6 separate regions of the Mus musculus genome follow, and regions 1, 2, 4, 5 and 6 are each reported to be linked to region 3. Evidence: microRNA targets listed by miRTarBase, many of them from high-throughput screens and not tested one by one. Region 3 holds a microRNA gene; each other region holds the end of a gene's coding sequence. Distances are from middle to middle.
Evidence for each region. Region 3 holds the annotated microRNA mmu-miR-3470a (UCACUUUGUAGACCAGGCUGG, at 1,527-1,547, shown strand). A microRNA usually pairs through its seed, bases 2 to 8, with sites in the 3' UTR of a target mRNA and lowers its output. Matches are read on the target gene's strand: a 7mer-m8 pairs with bases 2 to 8, a 7mer-A1 pairs with bases 2 to 7 and ends in A, and an 8mer does both.

Region 1 (5,059 bases), not on the chromosome of region 3:
TCCCAGGCATCTAAAACCCTCTTCTGACCTTCATGGGTTCCTCTATGCAATGCAGGCACACACACACACACACACACACACACACGCAAATAAATTAAAATAAATAAATGAAAAATAGAAATTATAAAAAGTTCCTCTCCAAAGCAGAAACTAAGTAGACACTGAATTTAACTAACCAATGTCATGTCTGTTCTTTTATACCAATTCTTAGAAGGTGTTCATAGAAAATACTATCCAACAGTTTGGTGTATTGTGTTCAAGGTAAAAGTAGGAAGAAAAAGCAGATGTGCTGTGCAAGACTGAAGGCTTTTAGAAAGCACACATCAAAAGTTCCTGTATCTAACAAACTTAAGCTTCTTTCCAGCTCCCACATTCGGCCTGTTGACCCCAGGGTCACCCTCTCCCAAAGCATTTTCTTCACACCTTGACTGGCATAGAAGCTTCAACAGATTAGTAGGAAAACTGGGTGTGGGAAGTAGAGAATGCAGTCAAAGTTGGTGAGATAAATGACTTGTTTTTATATTTTCCTTTATATGAATAATTTGTAATTCACCATTTTTCTAAGCTTAGATAATAATTCCAGAAAACACCTTTGCTTCAGTGCTCATTGATAACAGGCCAGGCAACAGAAGCATTAAGTGTCACAGTATTTCTTTTGTTTTTCAAGGTTCCCAAATTCAGAGAACTTGATAATCGCTTCTTTCAACATGCAAATCACAACCACGTGGAACATGAAGTCTAAAAGCTGATCCTAAACTCTGCATCCTCGGAATTGCCAAGAAGAGTCAAATTTAAAGAAACAAAAACTTGGTATCCAAAGAGATAGGCATGACAATAGATAAATTCCAGCCCCAAATGGCCAGTGTACAAATGTGTTTAGTTTTACTATTATTCCATGCTGTCCAAATGATTTCTCAGTTGACAGGAAAATGCTCAGAAAGCCGTCTATCCCAGGCTCTAAGAATGAAGTTGCAAATGGATAGCTTCATCGAGAATGTTTGATTGTATCATTGATATCTTGCAAAAGAGATGAATTATAGAAATCAATACTTCTTGATCACATCAGACTTTATCCACTTTTTTGGTTAGTTTACATCTTTGTGCATGTGTGTCATACCCCTTCCCCTACCCTCTGCACATCCCTACCCACTGCAGTTCCTCATGATTCCCCACTCCCTCCATCTGGGTCCCTTCCTCCCCTCAGTTAGGTATTCCTTGTTTTATTACATGTATTCTATCCGCAACCCTTTAGCTTCCTAATGTACATACCATGTCTTCAGTTCCAAAGAGTTTAAAGCTGAAGTCAAAGGACATATTAAAGAGTCTATACTAGAAAAATGAGCCGGGTGGTGGTGGTGCACACCTTTAATCCCAGCTCTTGGGAGGCAGAGGCAGGCGGATTTCTGAGTGCGAGGCCAGCCTGGTCTATAAAGTGAGTTCCAGGACAGCCAGGGATATACAGAAAAACCCTGTCTCAAAAATAGCCCCCCCCCCAAAAAAAAGAAAAAGAAAAAGAAATCTATGTAAATAAAAAGCAATATTAATGTTCTAGTTAGCATCTTTTTAAATCTTAAAAACAGTCATAGTAATGTTATACTGTTGTTTGTTTGCATATTCTTATCCTTAATTTCTTTTTATGGTTCTTATTTGTAATAGGAGTTTAAAAGCCATCTGTTATAAAATTTTAAATGATTAAATGTTATATAAAATGGGGTGTTTGTCTTTATCTCTTCTTTATATGATTAAATCCATTTAACAAGCACATACACTCACACCTCATACTAATGTGATTTAAAAATATATTACTTATGTATTCCCTATAAAAATCAAGTGTCCTGTGCATAGTATAACTTTTAAAAGACTGCATTTAGAAAAAATGACTAGCACAGTTATATTGAACCATTTTTATAAAAATTAAGAAGTATTTTTCATATTCAGAGCTTTTGATATTTTTTACATCCCCCAGTCCTGAAATCTTAACAGGAAGCAACTAGGCACCAAAAAAGATATGTGCCCTGCTATGATCATAGGGAAAATTGTGGGCAATATGAGGACACAAAGTTATAAGAGAGTTGATGGTGTCAATGTCTGCCTTATGAACACTCTCCCTTACCTTTCTTCAATACAGGACTTAGAGCTCCAAAATTTTGCTTTTTACACTCAGAGTTAACATTATTTTATTCATGGTAGTACATTGCCATTCTTTAATGGACAGGATATTTTCATTGGGAAGAAATAACAGATCATAATCTTGAGCAAATTTGTCCAGAGTTACTGTAGTGAACCCATTTAATAATTACCAATGGAATAGTTTATGTTTAGTTTTTATCATTATGAAGTTCACAGGAAATAAAAAACATTGACATTTTGAAAGGCACAGCATAAGGTAAGTACCATCACTTTCTGTCTTTAATAGGGTAGCCCAAGGTAATACATAGAAACCAATGATTGTTTTCACACGGGGAAAAATAACCTTTACTATATCAATAAGTGTAATCAAAGGCATAGTACACATCTATTTAATCTATTTTCTCTGAAAGTTGGTAAATTATTTTCATATGAGGATTTATGTTTTCTACTCAAATAAATTCACTTTTCCCGTTCGGTAAATCTGCTCTGAGTTTATCATGATATTCACATGGAAAATGTATTACTCTAGTCTTCTACCTTCCCCATTTTCATTATATTTATTCACTTTATCTACCCCTATTATATTGTTTGTTCCAATCCAGTTCGTTTTTGTAGATCCAACAAAATTGTATGTGCCTGTATTCTGGCTGTGCACAGGTGTGTATATGAGGAACTGAAGACCTAGTTACTTTAACCATATTTATTTGCAGCAGTGGGTTTCTTACTCAAGTTTAAAGCCTAAACTCTGTTTTTTTTTTTTAAACACTTAATTAACCTAAACACTTTCATGTCACCACAAAAACAAAATTCAGTGTGTATACTCTATTGCATCAGTTCACATGATAGAACAAAATTTCAAGATCTATTTATGTGATTTGTTCCAGGAAGTTTTGTCAGTCTTTGTTCTTGACTAAAGCTGAAGGGGTGACCAAGAATCGATAGATGCAATTTCAGACAGGTTTGAGAAACTTACCATTTCACAAATCTGGAGTTCTCTAGCTCTAGTTTCTACAGCCTTCGAGCTGGCTTTTGCACAAGGTGAGAAAAGTCTGCTGTTTGGGGTCAGGGAGATTTCCCAATTGTTCTCCTTTATTCCAAACCAGTTTTATTCAGAATAAACATTAGCCTGTTTTAATTCTCTTCTCTGGGTGTGTGGCCTTTATACAGGTTGCTTTTTTTTTTCTTTACTACTTATGGAAGGTTAACCTCACACTACTCATGTACCCTGAGTGACAGTTCAGGAGGCAGTCAGGGATGCTGGTACATGCTCACAGTCTCAAGTACCAGGAAACAAGGTGGGAAGATGGCAATAAATTCAAGCCAACCTGAGCTGCATAGCAAAGGCCTTTCACAAATGACTAAAATCACAAAAATGTGAGTGACAAAAAAATCTTTTCTGAATAAACCAAACATCTGGCCAGTCCCAGGAAACAATTCTCCTAGATTATTACTATCAACAAAACCAAAAAGAAAACCAACTCAGCAATCTTCAATGGGACAAGGCTATAAATCTCCTACGCTCAGGAACATCTGAATCAATGTTCCTGACTAGTCTTTCTGAAGCTCACAACTGATCAGATTTTTCACTACTATCCCAGGGACTCAATTGAGCTGCATCTCACTGCCATGATAGATCCCAAGGAATCTTGTCATGTGTGTATCATACAATATGGGTGTGCCCATGTACCGCATCACACTTCTGGAGGCTGAACAGGGTCTTATAAAGTCGGTTCCTTCCCTCCACCTTTATCTGAAAACAGGGATTGGACTCAGGTTGTCAGGCTTGTACAACAAATGACTGTATTCACTAAGCCATTCCACCTCTCCCAGTAGTCAAGTCTTTCAGTCTGGAAACCTCTAACAGTTTCTGCTATACCTTTCTGATGTTCGTGATCTTGGATCTTTTGAAAACTACAGGCCACTTGCATTGACTCCAGGTGATTTGGATTTATCTGGTGTTTCCTTACAAATTGGATTCAGGCAATACAACATTAACAGCAATTTAACTTGTATTTTTTTTTTAATTGCAAAGGTGAGGTTCTGCATTACGTTGCTTCCTCCTGCATGGAACAAGCTTTGAGCTTGTTTTGTCATTAATGATAGTTCTTTGATCGCTGATGAATTTGATTTTTTTCCCTCTTCCTTAAAGTTTCTTGTTCAGGGAAGACAGGACAGACAATACAGTCAGTCAAGTGCATCCCATGCAGGTATAAAGACATGAGTTCTAGCCAAAAAGTCAGTTGGTGACATACTTTGTAATCTCAGTGCTGGGTAAGATCAGTAGATCTCCAGATCTCATGGGCTAACCAAACTAACTTACTTGCTGAGCTCAAGGCTAATGAGCAACCATGTCTCAAAAAAAACAAAATAGATGGTACTTGAGGAATGTCACCCAAGCTTAGACGCTGGCCTCCACAAGCATGCTCACACGTGTGCATGTGTATCCACTCCCACACTAGCGCCTACACAAACATGTTTGCATACACACAGGATAAGTAAATCACTTGTTGCTTTGACTTTGTAATTATTATTTTGTGGGCAAGTAATGTGAGATGCTCATGGTCCCTGTGTCAGCACCTTTCTCCTAAGGCTTTCAGTGTGTTTATTTACTAGTTGATATCCCTATAGACTTATAATTTCTTATTCAATTCTTTACAAAAGGTTGTATTAAACTGTTGTGAACATGACATTATTCCAGATTTGGCCAGTGTAAACCATTTTGCGATGCTCTCTAGATCTTTCTCTTATGTGTTTGTTTCTTCTTTGCCTGTGTTAGCTCTGGAATCAGCCATTCCTTTAAGTACTAGTTTCTTCAAATGGTATTTATCCTCCGGGATGTAAAGGTAGTTGTATCATTGTTATTGTGGTGTTTGTTCTCCTTGACCCTCTCTATTGTCAGAAACAAATAAATTAAGTGATGTGAATCTGT
Region 2 (5,073 bases), not on the chromosome of region 3:
AAGGTCCTGAGTTCAAATCCCAGAAACCACATGGTGGCTTACAACCATCTGTAATGAGATCTGACGCCCTCTTCTGGAGTGTCTGGAGACAGCTACAGTGTACTTACATATAAAAAAAAAGAGAGAGAGAGAAGGCTCCGGAGGTCAGAGAGGGTGCGTGCAGCCTCTTCCACCACCTCCTGGTTGTGTCACCCAAAGCCTGCCTCCAAGACCGCTCCTAAGGAACGGCATAGTGATGGCAAGTGCTGCCGTGTGGCTGTCAGGTGGCACGCATTCTCAGAGTAAGTCAGCTGTCATGTGTGTCTTCTAGGTGCTGACAGCTCTGGAGTCCATGACGCTCAGTAAGCAGTATGTGGAGTACCAGGACCAGATACTGCATGCTCTTCAGTTTATAAGGCATCCTGGCCACTGCCTTCAGAATGGGAAAAGCTTCCTGGCCCTTCTTGTCAACCGCCTCTATCCAGAAGTGCATTACCTGGACAACATCCGGTAGTGAGGCCGAAGCCCTCGGAGCACCGTGTCGGCCCTGAGTTTACATTAGCCGTGCTGTTGTGCATGTATCTTTCCTCAGTTTCGCCACAGAGCTCAGTTCTGCCTGGAATCGACTGAGGTGCAGTTGGGAGGCATCAGCTCGTCCTGGTTGCACTTACCTCTTCTGTCCAGTGGCCATCTTAGTGTGAATGCTCTTCCACAAGTCAACTGAGTTCCCGAGTACAGACCACTCACATTTGGGGAATGTGCCTGTCAGCTCCCTAAGAACAACAGATAGAGTTTTTGGTATGTCTGCACCTCTGTCTCCCTGCCTTGTTTAAAGGTCAAGACTCCTAATGCCAGATCTGACCACTTTGGGAGGCGTGAAGAGCCCTCTTTTGGAACTCCATTGTATTCTTCCGATGTAAAAATTCTGTATTTCTGAAATGTAGGGAAACACACCAGCTTTAAAGTGTTATGTTACAGCTCTTTGAGTGGAGAGACTACACTGGATTAATTCAGGAGTGGTAGCTGGGCAGTGGTGGCACACACCTTTAATCCCAGTACTTGGGAGGCAGAAGCAGGCAGATTTCTGAGTTCGAGGACAGCCTGGTCTACAAAGTGAGTTCCAGGACAGCCAGGGCTACAGAGAAACCCTGTCTCAAAAAAAGCCAAATAATTTATTAATTAAGAAATTCGGGAGTGGTGGCCCACACCTGTCCTCTGAGCACATCGGCTGACTGAAACAGGAGGATCACAAGGTTGAGGCAGCGTGAGGTGTGTATCAAGAACATCTCAGCAAACAGAGCAAAGGAGCTGAATTAAAATGAGTCCTGTGCAGACATGTCACTTAACCCTGACCACAGTGGCCAGCACAGATGGTGACACATCCTCTGGAAGTGAGCTTGTCTGAAGTGATGTGACAGTGTGCCCTATGCCAGCTGTGTTGTGCACAGGTGTGTCGTCTTTGGGAGCACAGAAGCCCTGACCACAGCCGCCAGGGCACTGGAACCCTTTGGGTCTCCTCAGTCACAACGTTTTATTAGCCCTGTCTATGTGGAATTCCCAGCTCTTGTTATAAGTCAGGGCTTCTGCAGGCCCTACTGTCAGGGACACCGGGGACTTTGTACTTCTTCCTTAGGTAAATCAGATGGCGCTCAGGGACTCGCTGGAGCATATGTCCAGAGAGAAGGGCCAGGTCACGGCAATCTGAGAAGTTTGACTTTTTGTGAGTAGCTCCGTGCCTTCTGTCATTGCTGAGTCCCCGTTACCTGTCTGGCACAGTGCTCTGCTCCCTTTAGATCTCCTGCTCATGTCGCTCCCTGTAGAGTTCCTAATTTGACTTCTGTCAGAATAGTCCTACTTCTCAAAAATGCCCCCAAATGGGTTTTGCAGGTTCAGCTTAAAATACGTCTTTTTTATGGGTTTAGGTCTAGAAATATCTGTGTAAAATCTATGAGTGGCCACCAAGAGCCTTGACTAAAGATGGGATATACAGCTAGTGGGTCCCTTCCCTGCATTTGGAAGCTTGCAGGAACTTCTTATTGGACAGAACAAGTCTGCCTGGTAGACATGTCTTAGAACACTGATAAAGGACGATCCTATTCAGTGGCACAAAGTATCATTGTCCAGGAATCTGTCTCAGCCATCTTTATTTCTGCTTCTCTCTGCTTTCCAGGTCTGTCATCCCCTCTCCAATAGAAGAAAACTTTAGAAGCTGTAGACAGTTGAACCAGTGGTTCTGTGGTCAGGAAACACTGTTTTTGTGTGCTTTCTCCAAGGAGAACCAAGTTACCAATATCCTAGAATGTGAAATGTTTGAGTCATAGTGTGTACAGTTTAGAGAATCAATTAATTTTGAAAGTTTATAATATTTGTAAATTTTATCTGTAAAAAGTATAAACAATAAAATCAACCTTTGATTGTAACTGATGAATCCGAATTGAAGGCTAATGTAGATTTTTATGACTGATAATACATTTATTTGGCTTTGTAACTGGTCGGTAAAATTGCCACTATTTTCATCCCTGCTTAACATCTGAGAGTTATTTGCCTCAGATTCTATGAGAAGCACTGGGCTAAGTCTTTAAAACTATGTAATAATTCAGAACAAAGAAGGCTGCCTGTGGACAGGCTGGCTGGCTGGCTGGCTACCGGAAGACAAACCTGGCTTTGCTAGGAAAATGGTTCACTTTGAGAATGCAAGTCATGACATCAGGGACAGTGATGGGCACTTGATGTCCTTGTCACCAAGCAAGGCCGTGGCTGAGCAGTATGGAAGGTGGCCATCGCAGACTCCAGAGCCTTCTGCAGCTTCCCAGGAACAGATGAGAGTGTTGGCCTCAGCGGAAGTGCCTCTGCCTCTCCAGGCATTGCCCACCTCCTTGGAGTGCACATGTGGGGCATGGGGGTAGGGGATAGAGGTTGCTCTGGCCTTCCTTGCTCTACAGCCCCACTGGAACAGGTGACGGCAGGTCCTGTAGGATGGTGGCTGTAAAGGCCAGCGCCCACCATACACATCTCTAAAGCTCCTGCACACTTGACCTTGTCTCTAAACATGACGGGCAGGTGTCTTGCTGGTTAGGCCTCCACCGCTCATGTGTCTTTTGTTTTTTGGTGTCAGTGAACATGACGTGTAGACTCTCCCTGTAACTAGCCAGCAGTCTTTCTCCTCCAAGGCCAGCCAGTCTATGCTCTGGTGAGTTTAAGCGCTTTGTCTGAATCAAGCCAACAACACTGGTTTTCAAAGGTATTTTCTAAAAATTGTTTCTTCTACGCCCCCCCCCCCCAAACCCACAAAATTGATTCTTCTGAAGCAGGAAGCCAGTGTCTAGGATCGTGGGCAGAGTTGAGGCACATATAAATACCTCCGTTCCCTTAGTGGCAGTCCTCAACCTCTCCCCAACCCTGGCCACTCCCAGCCCAGGCTTGGCTATGCCAGGGTCCTCTAGTTCTGAGTATCTTGAGCGAGAATGGTCCCTTATAACCTTGCCTATTGATTGTGGATCTGCCTGGAGCACCCAGGAAGGACCTGTTCTCAGCTACCTCAAGACATTCCTCCTGTCCCATCTCCTTAGTCCTCTCTAAGTAGCCAGAGTCCTTAGTCATCTTTAAACGTGGCGTCGCGTCGCGTCCGATAAAGCTGCTTTTGTGGGCAAAGTGCCCAAGTCAGTCCACACTACTGTGCCAAGGGTTAGCAGTGCCAGAACTGTGCATGCTCAGCCCTCACAGATCCTCACAAGGAGAGAGAGCATCCTTGCCAGTTTTATCCCTGGTGCTTTGTCGCCTTATCCTGGACCCTGCCCTAGAGCTGTTACCTCCTTTGGGCTAAGCAGATCGAATCGCTCTAGCACTCACTTGGGCGGCATCGGTTCCCATTGTCCTATGTAGTTGGCACGTTAACCTAGCATTGAGTTAAACCACAGGCCTCTTTAATAGCGGTCACTGCCCGAGTTCCACTGAGCATCTACTTGGTCAGCCCAGTGGTCAGGCCCTTTGAACTTCGTCTCTGATTGCACCTGCTCTTTAGTTAGCTAAACTTCACAGTCCATTTTAAGGTGCTAGCTGATCATGTTAGGTGAGGCTCTTAGAGCCAGGGCCCTAAACAGACTGTTGTGTAGGAGTCATGTGGCCAGGAGCAGGTCATGTGCTTATCCATAGTCTCCTTCGCTCTGCACAGGCTTCTGATTCCTCACGAGGATAACGGGAAAAGAAAACTTACACTGCTCATATTTTACTAATGAAAGTGCTGGTGTTGGTTATAACTCATTTTTCAGTGTGTCATGCAATATGGCTGAGCACTGAAGAGAGGCTTGCTTTCAGTGGTTTGAGGTCATTTATATCGGAGATCAGTAGTGTGGCGTGCTCACCTCAGCTAGTGTGACCTTTACAGCCACAGTTTTACTCTTGCTCCATCCTCTTGCCCCCCCCCCCCACGTGCTCATGGCTGGCCTCTACTTCTCTACTCCTTCTCTCTCTACTACCCTCTCAACTTCCCTCCCCATGCCCTGAGTAAACTCTATACTATACTAAACAAAACCAAAACAAACAAACAAAAGACCAGTCTTATTTTGGCCATTTAACTGTGCAATACTTACTTCTTATTCGCTGTTTAGTATTTTCCATGCTCATACAAAGGACGCTTTTTTTTTTTTTTTTGTAATGATGGTGAGAAATTGGAAGCCGTGAGAATTAGTTAAGTGAAATTCTGCAAATAAAGGACATTGTGATTTCTCATGCCGAACCTGTCTTTATTGTTTACAGCACACCGCAACTTGGCAGGGCTTCCCATACATAAATCACATAAAGGGAACTTTTAAGTTAGTTGATTTGTGATGGCTAGGTCTTTTTGTTTTAATATTTTACCACAATGGTAAGACCTCCAGTTTCAAAGAGAAAATTTCCAACTCAATGTGTGTGTGTGTGTGGGTGGGGGGGCAGTTAGGAACTGGTAAGGACAGGAAACCATCGACTCAGAAGAACCCTCAATGGCTGGAATATCTGTAAAGTGGCCTTGACCTGTGCAGGAAGGACTTGGAAGCTGCGCAGAGGCTCCCAAGTTCCGTGATGAACCGAAATGTTTATGAGTGCTAAGAGGCAAGA
Region 3 (5,073 bases):
ACTTTTTTAAGGTTATAAGGAATTTGATGTGTAAACCAGATTGGCCTCAAACAGAGATCCACTTATCTCTGGCCCCCAAGAGCTGTGCTCAAAGGCCTGCCCAGCGCACTGCCTTGCCTTGCCTTGCCTTTCCTTTCTTTCCTCTTTTCTTTTCCTTTTCCTTTTCCTTTCCTTTTCTCATCTTTTCTTTTCTTTCCCTTCCTTCCTCCCTTTCCCCCTCCCTCCCTTCCCTTTCCCCCCATTTTCTCTTCTTTCTCATCCTCTTCCTCCTCCTTCTAAGATCTTATTATGTACCCTGGTTAGCCTGGAACTCTCTATGTAGATCAGATTGGTCTCACACTCAAAAAGATCCGTCTGCCTCTGCCTCCCAAGAGCTGGGATTAAAGGTGTGCACCACCCTGCCCAGTTCATCATGTTATTATTATTATTATTATTATTATTATTATTATTATTATTATTATTTTTGAGACAGGGTCTCACATTGACCCTAGATCTTGCCATCTTGGCTAGGGTGGCTCAGCGGTGAGCTTCCAGGATCTGCTTACCTCAGCCCATGAAGTTGGGGCTTCAGATGCGTGCAGCCGTACTCAACTTAACATGAGTGCTGGGGATTTGAACTCAGATCCTGTTGCTTTCACACAGGCTGCTCTTACCCACAGAACTGTCTTCCTGGTCTACACTGCACATTTTTTCTAGGGTCACCAGAGTGGACATCCATCCAGAGCCCACCTTAGTGTGTTTATTTGTTTTGAGACAAAGTCTCCTTTAGCCTGGAATAGTTTAAACTCACTATGTAATCAAAGAAGACCTAGAAACTATGATTTTCCTGCTTCTACATGGTAAGTCCTGAGTGTCAAGCCTCTACCACCACGTCTGACTTACCCAAGCTCTCTGCCAACAGGGCTACATGCCAAGGCCCATTTATTTGGCTTGGTTTTAGTTTGTATTTTGAGACAGGGTCACACTTGCACTGCTGATACCCTGGCTACCATCTCTCTCAGAGATGGACGTCACAATTAGCTCTCTCCCCCGCCTCCCTCCCCTCTCCTCCGTTGCTGGGAACAGAGTAATATAGAACTGAGGGTTGTATCTAGAACAGACAGGGAAGGGGCTGGGATGAGGGAGGGTGAGCATCCATCAAGCTAAAGGGTACAACTTGAGCCTTATCCAGCATGTGTTATATATAGTTCAGCCTGGCCTTGAACTCATAATTTTTCTTAGATTCCTAATTAATCAGATGACAGGCTCACACCATCACACCTTCCTTCTGGTTGCTGGTTTGTTATCCAAGGCTGGAGTGTAAGGGGAGGTGGTACCAGCTGGACAAGAAAGTAAGGAACACTGTTGATGTTGATGGCTCAGTACCAGCTAACAAGACTCCGTTGCCTCAGCTAAAATGATTTGTCCTGAAGCTGTTGGGGGCATGGGCTGGGGAGAGGTGGCAGTTTAGTTTGAGGGCATTTATTTGTTTATGGTTTTATTGAGACAGGGTTTCTTTGTGTAATAGAGCCCTGGCTGTCCTGGACTCACTTTGTAGACCAGGCTGGCCTTAAATTCACAGAGATCAGCCTGCCTCTGCCTCCTGAGTGCTGGGATTAAAGGCATGGTAACCACACCCAGTAGCTCAGGGATTATTCTTCCATTAGTAACTCCTTAAGAACTGTTCATCCAGCATTCTTGGTTTGTGGTGGTTGGAAGGTCAAGCTGCGTGCTTCAGGGGCCCTGCTAGAACTCCTCCTGGTCTCTCAAGAGTGCCTCCTTTCACTGTGGGGTATTTTAGCCTTCGGCTATGTCCAGCTTGTTTTCTTACCCTGTTCTGGGGACTAAACCCTGTCCATTTAGCTAAATCTCCAGCTCCATGGACAACCTTTTTACGTTATGAAATGGCACTGCTGTCCATGAAATCAAAATACCAGCTAAGGAGATAGGGAGTCAGTTAGTCATCTAAGGACCTGCATATGAAGCCTGGCTCAATGCAGTGCCATCCTATTGCTGGAGAGGCAGAAATTTGGAATCCTGGGACTCACTGGTCAGCCAGCCCATTGAAGCAGTGACCTATAGGTTCAGTAAAAGATGCTGTCTCAGCCGGGCGGTGGTGGCACACGCCTTTAATCCCAGTACATGGGAGGCAGAGGCAGGCGGATTTCTGAGTTAAAGACCGGCCTGGTCTACAGAGTGAGTTCCAGGACAGCCAGGACTATACAGAGAAACCCTGTCTCAAAAAACCAGTTCCAAGTGATCCAACACCCTCTTCTGGAAATGTAGGTACCAAGCAACCAAGCACTCTCTCTCTCTCTCTCTCTCTCTCTATATATATATATATATATGTATATGTATATATATATATATATATATTCAAAACACTCATATACATAAAATGAAAATAAACCAATCTAAGAATAAAAGTGTGCTGGGCATGTTGGCCCACACCTTTAGTCCTATCAGGAGGTAGAGGTAGGAAGATCTCTGAGTTCCCAGTCACCCTGGTCTACAAAGTGAGTTGTGTGACAGCCAAAGTTACACAGAGAAACCCTGACTCCAAAAAAAAAAAAAAAGCAACAAAGCAAGCAAACAAAAGCGTGTGTGAGAAAAGGTGAAGCCGTGTTTTCCCACCTACAAGGGCAGTGTCTTGACACCAGACTAAAAGTCCATTCAGTTGGTCTGTCCCACTGATCAATTCACACAAAGCACTCAGATCTTGTGTGAAGACACCAGAATCACGCCCGCCTTTCAGTCTCACTTATTCTCCCCTGAGTTTCCTCTCCTTGGCCCTCCACTCGCTGTCCGAGGTTCTAGCTGCATGGTGGTCTCTTAAAAACTGACAGGGTGGGCCTCTGGCCCCTCAGTGCTCCCTGTCCCTCCCCAGTCAGTGCCTTTGCAGGAGGATAGTGATTAATGGCCAGCAAAAAGGGAGGTCAAAGCTGAAGGTCCGAGATGTCATCAGTGGGGCCAGGTTAGGATGCTCTTGTGACAGTCACAGCTACTTTGACCTCCTCTCTTCAGTCTCACCCCAGGTTCCCATACCTGGGCAGAGGTAGAAGTGGATAGTGCTCTCTTTCCAGACTCTGGGGTGTCACAGTGTCTCATCATAGAGGTTTTGTTTGTTTGTTTAGTGTGGTGTGTGGGGGTGGGGGGCGCGCGTAAGCGCGAGTGCGCTGTGATATAGGCTGACTTAGAACTCTTGATTCTCCTGCCCCCCACCCCACCTTCTAAGTGCTGGGATCACAGGTGTGCACCTACACTAAGCTTACTATGGCTTTCTTAATGCAGGAAACCTAGTAAAAGTTTAATTAAGAGTAGAAGGCTCACATTATCATATAGGGGCCAACCTAAAGGTTAGTACTGAGGTCTCCAAGGCTGCAAGCCTTGGGAACAAAGGTAGCCAGTAGGGGGTAGTGGCCGGAAGCCACCACTAGAATCCTACCCACTTCCTCTCCATCCAGTGTCTCCAGAGGTGAAAGACAAGCCAGGTCTCTGAGGAGTGGCCAATGCCTGTGTACAAATCCTGACCTCAAGCCTCTTTTGAAAAATAACCATAGCCAGACACATACCTTTTAGGCTTGCTACTTGGGCTAAAAGAAGTTTTAAAGGAGCCGCAAGGAATTTCCCAGTGAGTAGCGGCTTGCCTTGGTTTGGGTTGCGGGCTTTCCGAATTGAGGCTTCTTGCAGCAGCAGAGTGGCGGCTTTATTCTTTAACGAGTAAGAAAAGTAGGAGTGTGGAGTAAGAGACAGAACAGAGCTAAATGGGTGTTTACCCTCCACCCGGGAACCCAGACAAGGCCTCTAGCAGGGGGTCCAGGGCCCTAAAATCCAGGGCTGGGCAGCAGCTTCACTTTCAATCGTCCACCTGTATCTCCTCATCTGATAAGTTGGGCTCAGAATCGGGCCCTGAAGGGCCAGGGTCAGGGCTTGAAGTGCTGTCTGGCAGTGCTGGGTAACACAGGACTCCAGGGGACAACCCGCATAGGGAGGCCACGTCCGCGCGCATCTCCTCCACATCCCGCTTGAGCTTGGCGCGACGGTTCTGGAACCAAGTGACCACTTGCGCATTAGCCAGGCCCAGTCGCGCAGCAAGTCCGTCGCGCTCTGACGGTGCCAAGTACTTCTGGAAGACGAATCGCCGCTCCAGCTCCAGCACCTGCTGTGCAGTGAACGCTGTCCGAGACTTGCGGCGTCTCCGGACACCAGCGCCAGGCCCCGGCGGCGCCTCCGGGGCGGCTCTGCCTGCCAGGATGAGACGGAAATGTCAGTCTCGGCTTTGGAGGAGGCTGAGGTCTGGATGGAAAAACTTAGGGTCGCGGGGCTTAAGCAGGTAGAGGGAGCGGGGTGGGCCAGCATCACGATCCCTATACACCGGGTCAGAACCCGGATTCGAAGTGCAGCAGGCCTGTGGGAATGCTGACGACAGAGAGATGAGATTACTCCAGCGGGTAGAGGGTGAGTGGGACTGACCAGAGATCTGGTACGAGAGTCAAGACCGTTTGGAGAAGGTCTCTGACGCCGTTTGGAGCTCCAGGCTGTGCGTGGTAGTAAGTTAGAGGCCAAATTGAGGTCGGGTGACCCATCTGGCCAAATAAAGTCCTTAACACCAGCTCTCTTTCCGGGAGCCCAAAGGGAAGGAAGGCAGGCGGAAGGCGGTTCCTGTGCCCAATAGTGCTGCAAAGGATCTTCTACAGGGCTCAAGAAGTGACTGGGGCTGGGGCTGGGGCTGGGGCTGGGGCTGGGGCTGGGGCTGGGGCTGGGGCTGGGGCTGGGGCTGGGGCTGGGGCTGGGGCTGGGGCTAGGTAGCTGGGGCTAGGTAGCTGGGAGGAATTTTCTGCCTTGTCCTAGCCCTGCCTCAGTCTTTTCTTGCCAGCAGCTCAAGCGTTTTTTCTCTTCCACAGCCTTTCTTGGTCATGATTACCCCGCATACAGCGAACGTACCAGCAGCCGAGCGGGTCCCTGGATTCGCTCCAGCCTGGCGGTACCCCTCAGCCCCTGCCACCCCCTGGAGCAATTGCAGTCTCAGAACTAACTCAGGAGACCTGCCGAGCCCTGTCAAATGCAACTCCTGACACTTGGGCAGAAGGCAGG
Region 4 (5,073 bases), not on the chromosome of region 3:
TTTATTGAGTCATATACTTAAGACGTTGTCTATGTAGCATTGAAAGTTGTCCTGTGGGCTGGTGAGATGGCTCATCAGTTAAGAGCACCGATTGCTCTCCCGAAGGTTCTGAGTTCAAATCCCATCAACCACATGGTGGCTCACAACCACCTGTAATAAGATCTGATGCCCTCTTCTGGGGTGTCTGAAGACAGCTACAGTGTACTTACAGATAATAAATAAATAAATCTTAAAAAAAAAAAACAAAGAAAGTTGTCCTGTAAGACATTGTGTTGACATACTCATCTGTCGGCTTGGGAGAATAGTTTTTGGTTTGGGAATTATTGCTTTGTTTGAAGCCAAGTCTCTCTGTGTAGCCCAAGCCAGCCATGAACCCTATCCCTATCCTGCTATCCCTTGCCAACTGCTAGTGTTATATATAGGCTTCCCTTCACCCTTATTGTGTCGTTTGTTTGTTTGTTTGTTTGTTTGTTTGATTGATTGATTGATTGATTGATTGATTGATTTTGGGGGTGGTATGTGAATTTCTATCTTCTGGTTTTTTGGTTGGTTGGTAGGTTTGTTTTGATATTTTGGTGCCCAAACCTGGACCTGTCATTGTCAAACTGTCACTACATCAGTATTCAATGCTAATAGGCCTCTTAAAAAGCACAGTGACTTAGGAGGCAGAGGCAGGTGGATTTCTGAATTTGAGGCTACCACAGAGAAACCCTGTCTCGAAAAAAAAAAAAGGCACAGTGTCGAGGCTCCACTTCACATGGAGAGTCGCTAGCAGAGCACCCTCTCTCCAGAGCAGCCTCTGTAACGCTGGCTCTTTTCACACCAGGTGAGCTGGATACGCTCTTCACCGCTGCTGGCCTGGAGAAGGTGCAGAACCTGGTGGATCGCCGCTTGCAGGTGAATCGAGGGAAACAGCTGACCATGTACCGCGTCTGGATTCAGTGCAAATACAGCAAGCCTCTAGCACTCCGCTCCAGCCAACATGTGCCCATTCCCCACGCCACAGAAAGTTCTTCACATTCGGGGCTTTTGTAAGAAGACATCTGTAGACAGCGGCTTGTTGATGATGGACAGTCTGGGGATTCAAGGAGCTCTAACTTTGAGCCTAAGAACAACTACTTTCCGGTTTTTAGCCAGGTGCAATGACACATGCCTTTAAACCCAGCACTCAGGAGGCAGAGGCAGACAGATCTCTGAGTTTGATGACAGCCAGTGATACACAGAGAAATCCTGTCTCCAAAAGCAAACCAAAAAAGTGTGGTTTTATTTCTAAAGCCCATTAATGCGTATTTTCTGGAGTTCGTTTTATTAATATCATTGGTCGAGGCAATGCCCTGGTGAATGTGGGGAGTTCAAAGGGCAACTTGCAGGAGTCAGTTCTCTCCTACAGGCTGGTCCTAGAATTCAGACTCAGGCTTGACAGCAAACACCTTGAGCTTTTTGACTGCCCTCAAATTTTTTAATGACTAGAGTTTTATATAAAACTCATTCTGTGACCAAAAATGACCTTGAAGTTTAGATCCTCTTGCCATCATATTGCAAGATGATGATGGTCCACACCTTTAATCCTAGCACTCAGAAGCCAGAGACAGGCGATCTCTGAGTTCAGGGCCTGCCTAGTCTACAGAGTGAGTTCCAGGACACCCAGGGCTACACAGACAAAAAAAGAAAAATAAGAAAGGAAAAAGAATGCTAACACATTTGAGAGTTAAGAATTTAAAATCCAAGCCTGGCCAAGTGTGGTGGCTCACAGCAGAAATCCCTGCGGGTAAAAAGCTGAGTTAGGCCGGGCGTGGTAGCGCACGCCTTTGATCCCAGCACTCAGGAGGCAGAGGCAGGCAGATTTCTGAGTTCGAGGCCAGCCTGGTCTACAAAGTGAGTTCCAGGACAGCCAGGGCTATACAGAGAAACCCTGTCTCGAAAAACCAAAAAAAAAAAAAAAAAAAAGGCTGAGTCAGCACAGGGATCCCGTTAAGATCAAGGCTAGCCTGGACTGCACTGTAAAACCATCTCACAGATGGTGAATATGGCTCAGTGGCATGAGCCCTGGAGCCAGCCAGGTACGGGGTGTTAGCTTAATCTAAATTGGCATGGGGGGTCTGAGATAGGAGAACTGCCTTCAATTCCAGGCCAGCCCAAGCTACATGGTGAAAGCCTGCCTGGCTTGTTTGATCCTGGGGCAGGATGGAGGTGATGCTGTGCTCCGCTGCAAGGTGCTGGATTATGAGGGCCTTTTACTGTCTCCAGTATTAGCACTAGAACGAAGGCTCAGCAGGTTTAGGCACTTGCTGCCGAGCGTGACAGCCTGAATTCATGTCCCCAAAACCCACATGGTGGAAGGAGAGAGCCATCATGTGCTGTAGCATGTCTGTGTCCTCAGACATACGTACCAAAATAAAATAATTTTCTATATCTTTTTGGTGGTGTGGCTTAATTTAGATGGTGTTTGATAGGTTCCCTCGCTGTCATCTCTAGGGCATGAGAGCACTCTGGCTGTGCCATCTGTCACCCTATTGACCACCAGGATTTATTGGTTTGCTCTGGTCAGCTAAGCAGGTGTCCCCTTTCACCTTCACCATCAAAGAGCTGGTCTTCTGTCCCCTACTGAAACCTCCACACAAGCTCAGTTATCAACTGTTGTGTAGGAGAGTTCCTTGACACATGATCCCTGCCACACATTTCCCATGGTCTCTGTCCAAAGGGTTTTAGCTGAATCATTCTAATAGCTGCACGTGGCTCTACAATTAAACCTGACGCGGCTGAGTTTCCTGAAAACAGTTGGGTTGGGAAGGTGGCTCCAGCTGCGAAGCTGCCTAGAAAGATTTGCTTAGGTGTATCTAACAGAAATGCTTCAGGATAGCGGGGCATGGTGGTGCACGCCTTTAATTCCAGCACTCGGGAGGCAGAGGCAGGCGGATTTCTGAGTTCGAGGCCAGCCTGGTCTACAAAGTGAGTTCCAGGACAGCCAGGGCTACACAGAGAAACCCTGTCTCAAAAAAAAAAACAAAAAAAAGAAATGCTTCATGAAAAGACTTATCTTCCTACGTCAAGTGCCAGCCATTCAGCTGGAGAGAGAAAGTCAATATTCTTTGAAAACTGAAGGATGGTTTGATGTGGGGCAAGTACAGAGAGCTGTTGGGGTGAAAGGCATGCCAGGTCAGGGTGTAACTCAAGTCCTTGCCAGTGTGGATTCTGTGGTGCAAAGGTGATTCGTCCTGAGCCTGACCTCTCTCGGTCCCTGTATGGGGGAGGGGGGGTGTCTCCTGTCTTCCTTCTTGCTCTCTTTTACTCTTGACTGGAAAAGTGGGACCCTGGAAATTTAACAAGAGGAAAGCTTAGTTCACGAGACATTTAATGTTCCTATAATTTGATTCCTGTCCTTGGAGACATTGGCAACAGTCAGGGCTTCTCTGGAGTAAAGACGAGCACGGGGCAGTTTCTTTCATGCTGTTGACAAAGGCCTGTTTTTTCATTGGTGGCTATAGCTGCTACGTCCAGAGGTCCAGAGCCCGGCTGCATCAGGGCATCACAGGTCTCCGCTGCTTCATTTGATCTTCAGGTTGTGATTTGACAAACTTGGTGATGAGCTTCCCAGTTGAGATGGTGATGTGGTACCCTGCTGCCTCTGCAGTGAGCAGTCAGCCAAGGTTCACAACTCAGAGGTCTGCTGGCTCTAATCAGTGGGCCATGTAGACAATTAAACATGACTGAGTTTAGGGGCAGAAGGCCACATATGGTTACTTGTTCCACAGAGGGGTTTTAAGGCACAGTAGCCAGAATATTCATCCTGAGATGAACCCAGATCCATCATTCCCCAGTTTCCTTTCCATGAGATAGGATTTCACCATTAAAATAGAAAATATCTGGTTACTTGTAGTGCCACACACCTTAATCTCAGTGATCAGAAGGCAGACAGACATCTAGATCCCTGCGAATTTGAGGCTTGCCTGGTCTACATAGAGAGTTCCATTCTAGCCAGGGCTACACAGAAAGACTCAAAAAGTTTAAAAAGATTCATATATATATATATGTTGTGTCCGGCCAGCAGATCACAGGCCTGGGTTCTAGCCTGGAAAGGCATTTTAAAAACCTGGAAGAGAAGAAGGACTAGGCAGGCGAGAAAAAGATGCAGCTAAGACAGTCATTCTGATCAAAGCTCAATTTTACTATTCTGCATGCAGTTATGAAGCAGGGGAAGGGGGCCCGATTCCTGCCAAATAATCTTGGAGTCCAGTAGCAGGGTGACCACATGATGGCTTCGGAACAGGAAAACGGCCCGGCCGGCTCCAGCGGCAAGCTCTACCCCTGAGCAAGCAGGTTTCAGGCTGGGGGAGGGGAGACTACATATATATATATATAGAGAGAGAGAGAGACAGAAAGATAGACAAACAGACACACACCTTCCGGGCCACTTGGGTCAGCGGGTAAAGGCTCTTTTTGTCTTGCTGCCAAGCCTGTCAACCTGCATACCTAAGTCTGGTCACCAGAACTGATGCGGTGGCAGAAGAAACCCATCCTCTGACTGCATCTGTTTTTAGCAAGTTTTGTTTTTTGTATGAGTGCACTGTCGCTGTCTTCAGACACACCAGAAGAGGGCATCGGATCCCATTACAGATGGCTGTGAGCCACCAAGCGGTTGCTGGGAACTGAACTCAGAACCTCTAAAAGAGCAGCCAGTGCTCTTAACCACTGAGCCATCTCCCCAGCCCCAACCTTAGCATGTTTTAGTAGAGTATCACCCAAGAGAATAATAGTTGTCAGATTCCCATTGGCCCAACCCAGAATGCTGGGTTGTTAGTTCAGCTGGAGACTGTTAACCCTAGAAACAACACAGCTTGGAAGAATGGGTTATTAATCTGGGATATGGGAGTGACAGTGGAAGGGAGCTCCCTGAGAAGAGATGCTGCCAAACTTACACCAGAAGTTGATGGTTAGCACATCAGGGCATTGGGTGGGGACAAAGGTTTGTCAAGCTAAGGCTGATCCCAAATCTCTTATCCAAATAAGCAGAGCCCTTGCTGAACAATCTAAATGTGCTAACATTTCTTGGAATATTTGCTATCCTTACACACA
Region 5 (5,073 bases), 33 Mb from region 3:
GGCGTGTTAGGAGTGCATGGTGGCTTTGCGTATTTAAGGGCGCAACACTTCAAACATAACGAAGCTTAGTGGAGCGGGATTTGCCGCTCCTTCGCCACCAGAGAGACCTGGCTGGGGTTCTGTAAGATCGGTTGCGGTTCTTTGAGGTTCGGAGTGGGTGAGATGAACCACTGACCTCTTGGGATCGCGTCTGGAGAGTAGCTAGTATTCTTCCAGCTTCGGAAGCAAGAGGGAGAGCAAGCCTAGCAGAGGTACCCATTCCATTCCCAGTTTGCTCGGTAGCTGGTGATTGGAAGACACTCTGCAACATTACTCACTGAAGGCCTGAGACGCAGCCCCACCTCCCAGTTTCTTTACTAACTTGGGTCTGACTTTTGTCAAAAGGCATCATGGCTGCCCTCCGGCCTCTGGTGAAGCCCAAGATCGTCAAAAAGAGGACCAAGAAGTTCATCAGGCACCAGTCAGACCGATATGTGAAAATTAAGGTATGTGGTTCTGGGGTGGGGGTTAAGACCTGAGCACACATTTCTCGTTATCGCTTGTCTCTGCATTTTAAAAAGTTCATTTTAAAGATGACACTTTGTTTTATATTTATGCGTTTGAAGGGCAGGGAGAATCACTTTAAGGAGTTGATTCTCTCCTTCCTGTCTTGTGGGTCCAGGTCAGATTTAGTTTGTCTGACAGCAGGCACTTTTAAGTCATCTCTGCACCCTGACCCTGTATTTTAAAGATCTTTGGGGTTTTGTCTGCACACCAGGCACATGCATGCATGGAATTGAACCTCTGGAAGAGCAGCCAGTGCTCTCAACTGCTAAGACCTCTCTCTGGGCCTGCAGATCACCTGTTGGCTGGATGGGCATGCACACCCAGCAGTTCAGCAGTTAACTGATCCCTCCTCCCTACTTAATTGCAATGGAAGATGATGTTGAAATTCCAGTGCAAGTGCTAGGGATGGAGCCCAGGGCCCTGTGCATGCCAGGCAGACACTGCTAACTGAGCTACACCTCGGCCTTTGGTGTGTGTTTTATGACATGACCCCCTTGAATTCTGTCCCCTTCCTGCACACACATACAAGAGCTGCCAGTTTGCACAGAGACTAACTTGCCTGTGTGTCTTCAGCGAAACTGGCGGAAACCCAGAGGCATTGACAACAGGGTGCGGAGAAGGTTCAAGGGCCAGATCCTGATGCCCAACATCGGTTATGGGAGCAACAAGAAAACCAAGCACATGCTGCCCAGCGGCTTCCGCAAGTTCCTGGTCCACAATGTCAAGGAGCTGGAGGTGCTGCTGATGTGCAACAAGTGAGTTGGGCCCCTGGCTGGGAGTGTGCCTGCCTCCTGTGAGACTGAGGCCACTGCAGTGGGCATGCTTATGAGGAAAGAGGACGTGTTCCCTTGGTTGAAGCCTGAGACTGGAGAAGAAGGTCTTTTTACAGTGGGTGTTCAGTGTCCTTTATGGTCCTGTGTGGAACACTGCTATAGTGTCATGAGACTGCAGGGGCCTGTGTCTAACCTGGGACCTAAGCTGTGCTTGGCTCTGCTCTGACGGGTGGATTTGCAGAGCAGCTCAGGTCTTTTGGGGCTGAGGTAGAGAAAAAGTCTCCAGGCACAGCTGTAGAGAGAAGGTTGTGGGGTATTCTGGGTACTTTGAGCAAGTTACAACCCTTGGTGACCTCTGAGATGCAAAACCAAGGCCTCTCAGGAAATACTCTTGACATTGGATATGAGGGTGTGATGGGAATAGTTTATTTTTCCCAAGTAAACTAGGACTGCAGAGAGTGTATGTGTTCGGGGTTATAAGGATTTGTTTTCTGAGGTGGTTGTCATGCAGATGGAGGAGTCCTATGGGGAGATTATGTTGTGCATTTAACCAGGCCTTGAAGTGCTACAAGTTCATTTGGAAGGATGGATGCAGGAGAGAGAATGTGTGTTGTACAGCAGCAGTCCATGAGGCAGTGTTGATGGTGCAGTGTTATGGGGGCTGCATTTCTAATGGGTACATCTGCCCCAGGAGAGCTGCTTGGCCTTGTCAGACCCTGCAGGTGCACCGCTCACTGAGTTCTGTCTCTGGGCATTTTCCTCTGTATAGCTGGGGAGCAGGGCAAGTTGGAGGGTAGTTACAGAAAAACCATTGGTTCCTGAGTGGTAAAGAGTCCTGGGGTGGGATATGGCAGCATGTGACTTGTGAATGGTGAGTGTGCTAGACAGCTATAAATGCATGTGGCCCGGGATGGGTGCTTCAGGTTAGAACGTGATGCACTCTGTCCCCAAATCTGTCAGGTGGTGTCTGTCTGTATTAGGTATTTGCCATTTGTATGCTTTCCATAGCTCTGCCATCCTGCTTCTCTAGGGGTTTTTCCTCAGCTCCCGGTCTATGGCTTCACGGTCATCTCCATGCTGGGAATGTGTTCATTAGGACAGATTGTCAACACTTTGAGGGAACACGGGCAGTGTTTGTTGTTCACGCTGCTTGAACTGTGTACCTTACAGTGGTTGCACTGGAAGCCTTTGGCTCCAGTGGAAGAATTCTGGGTTACTCAGTGTGAGGAAGAATTAAGCCATTTCCCTGGTGACCTTTCCTGGTTTGCTTCTCTTTCAGATCTTACTGTGCTGAGATTGCTCACAATGTGTCCTCTAAGAACCGAAAAGCCATTGTAGAAAGAGCAGCACAGCTGGCCATCAGAGTCACCAATCCCAACGCCAGGCTACGCAGCGAAGAAAATGAGTAGATGGCTTGTGTGCATGTTTTATGTTTAAATAAAATCACAAAACCTGCCGTCGTATTTTCTATGTTTTTGGTAACTGGAGATTGTTCTTTGCTGCTTGTTCTGGGGGAGACAGCAGGGTTCAGAATCCCATGCTAGTCTTGGTTGGCTGCAGGTGGAAGAGGGGAAAGGCCTTGACCCTCTACAGTGTAGGTACACTTGAGTCTGGGGACCAGACAAACCTCTGCTCTCAACCCTGTCCCAACTCTAGCATGGGCTCTAGCTTAAGGCACTTTTTTTTTTTTTTTTTTTTTTTGTTTTTCGAGACAGGGTTTCTCTGTATAGTCTTGCCTGTCCTGGAACTCACTTTGTAGACCAGGCTGGCCTCGAACTCAGAAATCTGCCTGTCTCTGCCTCCCAAGTGTTGGGATTAAAGGCGTGCGCCACCACTGCCCGGCTTAAGGCACTTTTTTGATGAAGCCTTTAGTTTCATGGAACTGGCCTGCTTGGCCTCAATCAGTCAGGATTGACAATCCTGTCTTTGGAGGATATTAGAACTTCATGAGACTGATAAATACTTCTGCCACGTGGGACACTACAAGGGCAGTGCCATCTGTATCTAGGCCAATCTCTGGCTCGCTGTTCTTTTGAAACAGTAATGGAGTTCAGAAGGGTTGACTGTCACGGGTGACACTTAAATGACTGGAGAGAAAGACATCCCAGCCTTTTTATTACTAAGCTTTTGTTCTCATTGTAGAAATGAGGTTTTATCATCTTGCTGTAGTGTTGGAGAGTGCTCTACAACTGAGCTATTTTAAACTTTGGTGTTTTGCCTGTATATATGTCTGCCCGAAGGCATAGGGTCCTTTAGGACAGGTTAGAAAGTTGTTGCTACCAGGAGGGCGTGGTACTGAGCTATCCTGCCCTGTTGCTTTTAGGTAGATCTTAAATTTGTTCACTACGACCTGAGTGTGTGGTCCAGCCTCAGCCTCCTAAGGAATTAGGATAACAGGTCTATGCCATCGGCCTTGTTATTTCCAGGACTGAATCAATATGGATAAGAATCCTGTGAGGAGAGCTTTGTATATGTTATTAACTCAGATAACTGGCCTCAGCTGGCTTTAATTCCAGGCAGGTGGATTTGAGTCTGGGCCATATGTGGCTACAAAGAGAAACAATGTCTTAAAAATCAAAACCTGTCATTTATACTTAAATTTTCAGTACTAACTACAAAGTCGGGAAGAGCACAAGCCGACTGTTACACTCCTGGGTGATGGGATTAGGGATGTTTGAGACAGTGGACCTACACCTGGCCAATGAGCCACACTATCTTCCCTGTAAACAGTTCTCACTCTGCTAACTAATGAGGCACTAAGTATAAATTGGTTCTCTTGTATGGGCTCTACATACCCTACCCATGGCTAGGTTCAGGGTGCTAACTGACATTTGGACTTCAGAGTAAGTGAAGTAGGAAGTCAACCCCCTGCTTGCCTTCTGGTCTTGGGCATAGGCCAATTCTGGCTCCTAAGTGAGTGGAGGGGTGCAGTGTAAAGGTGGTGGGACATGACGCTCGTGAATGAACGTCCTGAGTTGGTGGGCCCGGCTTTGGCACTGGGGCTGTGAGCAGGGGGCCCTAGCAAAGGCACTGAGGCTGACAGGGAAGGACAGAAGAGGCCAAGGCCTATTGGGATAAGAAGGGAGACTTGTGTTGGGGGCAGCTAGCTGAGTTCCATAGAGTCCGTGCTGGGGCCGGAGGCTGTGTCCTTTTGGATGCTCTCGAAGAGGGTGGTGAGTTCTGGGTTGGATCGGATCTGGGCGGAAAAGTCAGCTACAGTGGGGCTCTTGCGCACCTCAGGGTTGGTCAGCAGGGCGGCCACTGCCCGCATTGCTGAGCGCTTCAGCTCCTCCTGCTTCTCCAGCTCCTGCTTCACAGAACCAGCCTTGACCTGCAGAGGGAGACAGTGTCCTTACTGAGTCTCTGTTACCCATTCTAAACAGGTTTCTTTTTTTTTGTTGTTTTTTTTGTTTTTCGAGACAGGGTTTCTCTTTTAGCTCTGGCTGTCCTGGAACTCACTCTGTAGACCAAGCTGGCCTCGAACTCAGAAATCCGCCTGCCTCTGCCTCCCGAGTGCTGGGATTAAAGGCGTGCGCCACCACGCCCGCCTTAAACATAGGTTTCAAATAAAGGCCTAATTTCAATCTGATGCATAATCAGATTTCATTTTTTTTCTACTACTGTGCTGCTATTTGAAGATCACAACTTTGGGGCTGGGTATGTGGCTCAGTTGGTAGAGTATTTCACCTGGCACGCACAAAGTCCTGAGTTAGATATCCACATCTGAGTAGGGAAGAGGGGACCTGATCCAGCA
Region 6 (5,073 bases), not on the chromosome of region 3:
ACACTCACATACATACACACTGACATTTGCACACACACACACACACACACACACACACACACACACACACACACACACAAACACACACACAGAGCCCAAACCACACCTTCACAAAAGGAAGCCTAGCTAAAGCCTGCGATAGACTGAGTTAACTTCTGACCACTCAGTAATCTGTGACCCTGGAACTAAGAAAAACAGAAGCAAAAACTAGCTGTTGGGTGTGTCCTCCCGCAGAAAGGGAGGGCCAAGAAAAGCAGGGCTGCTTGCTCGAGCTTTGTAGTTAGATGTGAGTCTAGGGTCTTATTAATGCCTTGAGACACTAGAACAAGCTCTGTTTTCCCTTCTCTCTGATAAGAACTTTGAGCTCCTGAGAAGGTGCAGAACTTGCTGAAGGCCTCTGGTGTGCGCTGCCTCCATGTCTCCTGCCTCCAGAGCACACCGCCATTCACTCCTTGCTATTTGGAGCTCCAAGCTCAGAGGCAGCAGTAGGCCTGACCCAGTTATATGTCAAAGGCCAGTTGCTTCAAATGTGTCCTTGCCATGTGGGGATTTCCAACGAAACTCTTTGTGTTTGTCCCATCCTGTCTTGTTCAGCAAAGCAAATGAGAAAATGAAGGATACGGATTTATTATTTTATTTTTATTGCATGTGCGTGTGCGTGTACCATGGTACCTGTGTGGCGCTAAGTGCAGGTGTTTCTCTCCTTGCCCCACGGGAGTCCTGAGGATGGGACTCAGGTTGACAGACTCGGTGGCAAGCCCTTTTATTGACTGGCCTCTCTCACTTGCTCAGTGCAATGAGTTTGTTTGTAGAAAAGAAAATGTTTGCTTCCCTATGTTTGCTTCTCAGGCCAGAAGTCTTTCTTCTCTACATGGGAGTCCAGGAACAGATTAACCTTTGATGACAACTCTCAGGCTCATCAGTTGGAATGAGGGACTGACACTGAAGGAACCTCGTGCTCTCTCACACGAATTCCACATCCCTGCCTCCTAGCAAACAGCCCCTGCTTCTCCTGGAGAAGCTCATATCCCTGAAGTCTTGGGTCAGATCTTATTACCTCTGCTCTGTCTTACAGCAAGCAAGTTAAACACAGCCAGGCCTTTTCTGTCCACAGATATCAAGCCCAGGGTGGTGGCGCACACCTTTAATCCCAACACTCCAGGGGAAGAGGCAGGCAGATTTCCGAGTTCCAGGGCAGCCTGGTCTACAAAGTGAGACTCTATCTCAAAAAATAAATCAAAACCTCTGAGAACAGAGGTGTGGTCTCACTGCTGTGGAAACATCTCTGGAGCCCGCTAGGATATGTGCTTCGTAAAGACTTGTAACAAATTGTCATTATCAAATGAAGGTCATGTGTATGCAAAAACTAAAGCGGGCCTGGAGAGATGGTTCATCAGGTAAAGACAATTGCCACCAAGCCCCTCAACCGGAGTTTGATCCTGGGACCTATGTGGTGGAAAGGGAGCCCTGACTTCTGCAATTTGTCCTCTGAGTTTCTTCATGTGTGTTCATGTGCATGCACATGCATACACTCATGTGCACACATACACATGCACACATATATACACATGCATATATACACACATGTACACACATGCATAAACACACACACACATACACACATGCATAAACATACATACATGTGCATACACACACATACATGTACAAACAACGGATCAATCAATATTAAAAATTTTCAAGCAAGCTGCACTGGATCTTACTGAGCTTGGCAGTCAAAGCAGCCCTGCCAAGATGGCTGCCTGTGACAGCCTTGTCAGCCCCATTACTTCCAGGTTGGTCAAGACAACGATGCTTTAGGTGCTGAGGAGCGGCTGGCCTTCCCTAGAGAGCTTTAGGGTTTTTTTGGTTTTTTGTTTTCCTAGGTTTTTTTTTCAGTCTTACAATGTTACCAGGCTGGTCTTGGGCTGGCAGAGATACCTCCCTCTGCCTCGTGAATGCTGTCGTTAAGGATGTAGGTTAGCATGCCTGGCCAGGCTTTGCTTTTTGATAAAATTGTATGTACTGGAGAACAGAGCTGAAACATTCCTGTGCCCTTTGACCCAGCTACCCCCATGGCAAAGAATTAATCTGATGGAAATAAGTGAGCAGGGAGAGGAAACGTGCACAGATTAAAGTTCCCTGAGACTCGTACTTGCCAAGAGCTGGAAGGAAACCAATGTTTATTGACAGAATTACAAGTGGGATAGACACACTCTAGGCACGCTTAACCATGTGACCCGAGACAGCGGGAAATACAGACCAACACCAAAGCATAAACTTACTTAAAACATTATAGGATACTTTTGAAAATAAAACATTTATTGACTAAGCCTGCCATGGTGCCACAGACCTTCGATCCCAGTACTCAGGAGGCAGAGGCAGGTGGATTTCTTTGAGCTCTAGGCCAGCCTGGTCTACACAGAGAGTTTCAGGACAGCCGAGGCTACATAGAGAGAACCTATCTTGAAAAACCAATTTTCTGTCTTTCTTTCTTCTTTCTCTCTTTCTCTCTTTCTCTTTCTCTCTTTCTCTCTTTCTCTTTCTCTCTTTCTCTCTTTCTCTCTCTCCCTCTTTCTTTCTTTCTTCCTTCCTTCCTTCCTTCCTTCCTTCCTTCCTTTCTTTCTTTCTTTCTTTCCTTTCCCTCCCTCCCTCCCTCCCTCCCTCCCTCCCTCCCTCCCTCTCCCTCCCTCCCTCTCCCTCTCCCTCTCCCTCTCCCTCTCTCTCTCCCCCTCTTTCTCTCTCTCCATTCCTTCCTTTCTTTTTCTTTTTTACTTATTTTGTATGTATGGGTGTTTGCCTGAATGTTCACAATGCACATGTCTGCTACCCTCACAAATTAGAAGAGGGTGTTGGGTCACCTGGAACTAGAGTTATATTATAGACCATTGTAAGCTACTATGCTTGCTGGGAATCCAACCCCAGACCTCTGGAAGAGCAGCCAGTGCTATTAACCACTGAGCCATCTCTCCAGGCTCCCACTTTGGTAACTCAATTTTGAGGTTCTCATTTGTGACCTTTGAATATGACAGCATGGTGTTGCAATAACAAAGGGTTGGATATGCCTGTGGGGGATATGACTCAGTCTGTCTGTCATCCTCGACACAAACATACAGACTGCCAAGGAGATATCAGACATGCCGCCGTGAGCAACAGGCTGGGAGAGACTTCTGAAATGGTTATCACAACCAACACAGGAACAGGGAGCTATTTGAATTCCAGTGTTTTTTTTGACTACACTGTCCTTGTCTTCAGACATGACATGGGAATTGAACTTGGGACCTCTGTAGGAGCAGACTGTGCTCTTAACCACTGAGCCATCTCTCCAGCCCCTGAAATCCAGTGTTTTTTAAAAAGCAAGTTGCAGAACTGGAACTTTCAATGTAAGCCTGCAAATGAGACCGGAGTCAGTGAATGCATGAAGACATTCTTGTGGCTACATCCTACGTGATGCTTGCAGGGTCAGGGGAGAAAGCAAGCTGCTCTCGTGGCCTGGGTCTTGCCCTGACAGCGGGGACATGGGAATGGCTTTGTAGATCTAGGCACATGTTGGGGGATGCTGTAGGAATAGGTCTCCTCTTGTCTGGCTGTGTCCTGCAGCAAAGCCTGCAGGTTCCTCCCACTCCACCAGCTCCATTTCTCAGAGGCAGGGTAACAGTTCCTGATCCAGGGAATGCTAAAGTCCTTGCTGAGGTACTATGCTAGAATGGATGAAGGCACCACAGTCCCCTTTCTATATTGAAGGGACTGAAGCTCTGTTGGCTCCAGTCTCCCCAATGTGCAAGCAACAGAGTTGGGATATGAATCGATCCCTTCACTCTGGGGCATGGCTCTTTCTATTTCTTCCCCTGGGCTGAGAAGAGTGGAGGGATGTGGGTCAAGACAAGAAAAAGGGACATGGCCAACTGGGTGGACGGAGTCCTGTGGAATGAGGAGTCAGCGTGGAGTCTCTTGTTAGAACTGCATCCTATCTTCCTGGTCTTGGAGGACAGGGCCTTGGGATTGAATTTGATGCTGTGAGCAGTAACCCAAATTCTAACCCTTGGAGAGTTCAGGACATTCTCAACAGAAGATTAAAGAAGCTAGCAACAGATACTGCTAGTTACTGAAGGGGAGCCTGAATGAGCTCCATGGTAAGGCGAGTCAGCAGTTCTTGCTGTCAGAGTAGCTCCCACCCCCCAGCTTCTGAGAGATGTGTCTCTCTCAACCGCTAACCTTGAGATTCCAACAGCATCTTAGGTATCCCTTCTATTTCAATAACACCACCTAGTCAAGGAATGGACACCCGACACACTCGGCCAACGGAGGTGTTCCCTAGGAATACCAATTTTGAAATCAGAGAGATGTGGTCCTTCTCTGATGATAGAACCTGGATGATCTGTCACTATGAAGGATCTGAAGGTCAGAGAGGGGACATTGGAGCCAAGCCTTGGTTTCCACTCAGTCTGAGGACTTAGTTGTCCTTTATCACATGATCATGCAACCAGGACTCACCAAACCCCTTTGTAATTGCACTAATCTGGTTAGAATTTTTGTCACCAGTAAGCCCCAATGTTCAACATTTGCAGTAAGAGATACGTGTGTTTTTCACACATTGAACATAAATTTTTCAAAAAAACACCACGGGGTTGGTTTGCAGGCATCTGGTCCATATTTCTTGCACATAAGATGCAGGGGGAGCGGCAGGGAAATCTGATGCAAGAACTCTGGGTTCCTAGTGGAGCTAGGGTCGGGGAGACCCCTTCAGAGCAGGAGAGACCCATCTCCCTCGCTTGTGTAGTGAGTGAAACTGCTCAGAATGCTGTCCTGCCTGCTCCTCTGGGACTCTGGCGAGAAGCCGGTGTGGACAGGATGACCGCACAGGACGGCCAGGCACTTCCTATACAGGTGTCCCAGGTATCTTCTGAACTTTTCCCCGGCAAAGGCGTAGATAAAGGGGTTGAGGCAACAGTGGCTGAACGCCACTGTCTCCGTCACACTGAGGGCCAACCTCAGGTCCCTCTTCATGTCACAACTGGGGAAGAAGTTGTAGAACTTGAGAGTCTCCAGGAAAATCATGATGTTGTATGGTGTCCA

Region 1: miRTarBase lists Rhag as a target of mmu-miR-3470a. Seed matches in the 3' UTR shown: 7mer-A1 at 1,430-1,436.
Region 2: the mRNA of Epg5 is a reported target of mmu-miR-3470a. Seed matches in the 3' UTR shown: 8mer at 1,089-1,096 and 7mer-m8 at 3,627-3,633.
Region 4: miRTarBase lists Mettl2 as a target of mmu-miR-3470a. Seed matches in the 3' UTR shown: 8mer at 1,872-1,879.
Region 5: miRTarBase lists Cand2 as a target of mmu-miR-3470a. Seed matches in the 3' UTR shown: 8mer at 3,068-3,075.
Region 6: miRTarBase lists Cx3cr1 as a target of mmu-miR-3470a. Seed matches in the 3' UTR shown: 7mer-m8 at 2,977-2,983.

Annotation. Positions count from the first base shown.
Region 1 is chr17:40,839,041-40,844,099 of GRCm38, forward strand. It overlaps Rhag (Rhesus blood group-associated A glycoprotein), which reads left to right. Exons shown (of 10, transcript NM_011269.2): 10 at 668-1,714. The coding sequence ends at 742. Among named protein-coding and RNA genes, the nearest start is that of Rhag, 30 kb to the left of the region's middle.
Region 2 is chr18:78,032,615-78,037,687 of GRCm38, forward strand. It overlaps Epg5 (ectopic P-granules autophagy protein 5 homolog (C. elegans)), which reads left to right. Exons shown (of 44, transcript NM_001195633.2): 44 at 311-4,707. The coding sequence ends at 493. Among named protein-coding and RNA genes, the nearest start is that of Siglec15, 22 kb to the right of the region's middle.
Region 3 is chr6:83,086,834-83,091,906 of GRCm38, reverse strand. It overlaps Mir3470a (microRNA 3470a), which reads left to right and starts at 1,520; the gene lies at 1,520-1,596. Lbx2 (ladybird homeobox 2) reads right to left here. Exons shown (of 2, transcript NM_010692.4): 2 at 3,664-4,224. The coding sequence ends at 3,836.
Region 4 is chr11:105,138,735-105,143,807 of GRCm38, forward strand. Mettl2 (methyltransferase like 2) reads left to right here. Exons shown (of 9, transcript NM_172567.3): 9 at 827-2,412. The coding sequence ends at 1,035. Among named protein-coding and RNA genes, the nearest start is that of Mettl2, 15 kb to the left of the region's middle.
Region 5 is chr6:115,803,214-115,808,286 of GRCm38, reverse strand. Cand2 (cullin-associated and neddylation-dissociated 2 (putative)) reads right to left here. Exons shown (of 15, transcript NM_025958.2): 15 at 2,732-4,650. The coding sequence ends at 4,423. Rpl32 (ribosomal protein L32) reads left to right here. Exons shown (of 4, transcript NM_172086.2): 2 at 385-485; 3 at 1,120-1,301; 4 at 2,599-2,773. The coding sequence starts at 390. The coding sequence ends at 2,728. It overlaps Snora7a (small nucleolar RNA, H/ACA box 7A), which reads left to right and starts at 184; the gene lies at 184-312.
Region 6 is chr9:120,046,530-120,051,602 of GRCm38, forward strand. It overlaps Cx3cr1 (chemokine (C-X3-C motif) receptor 1), which reads right to left. Exons shown (of 2, transcript NM_009987.4): 2 at 2,154-5,073. The coding sequence ends at 4,741. Among named protein-coding and RNA genes, the nearest start is that of Gm33858, 14 kb to the right of the region's middle.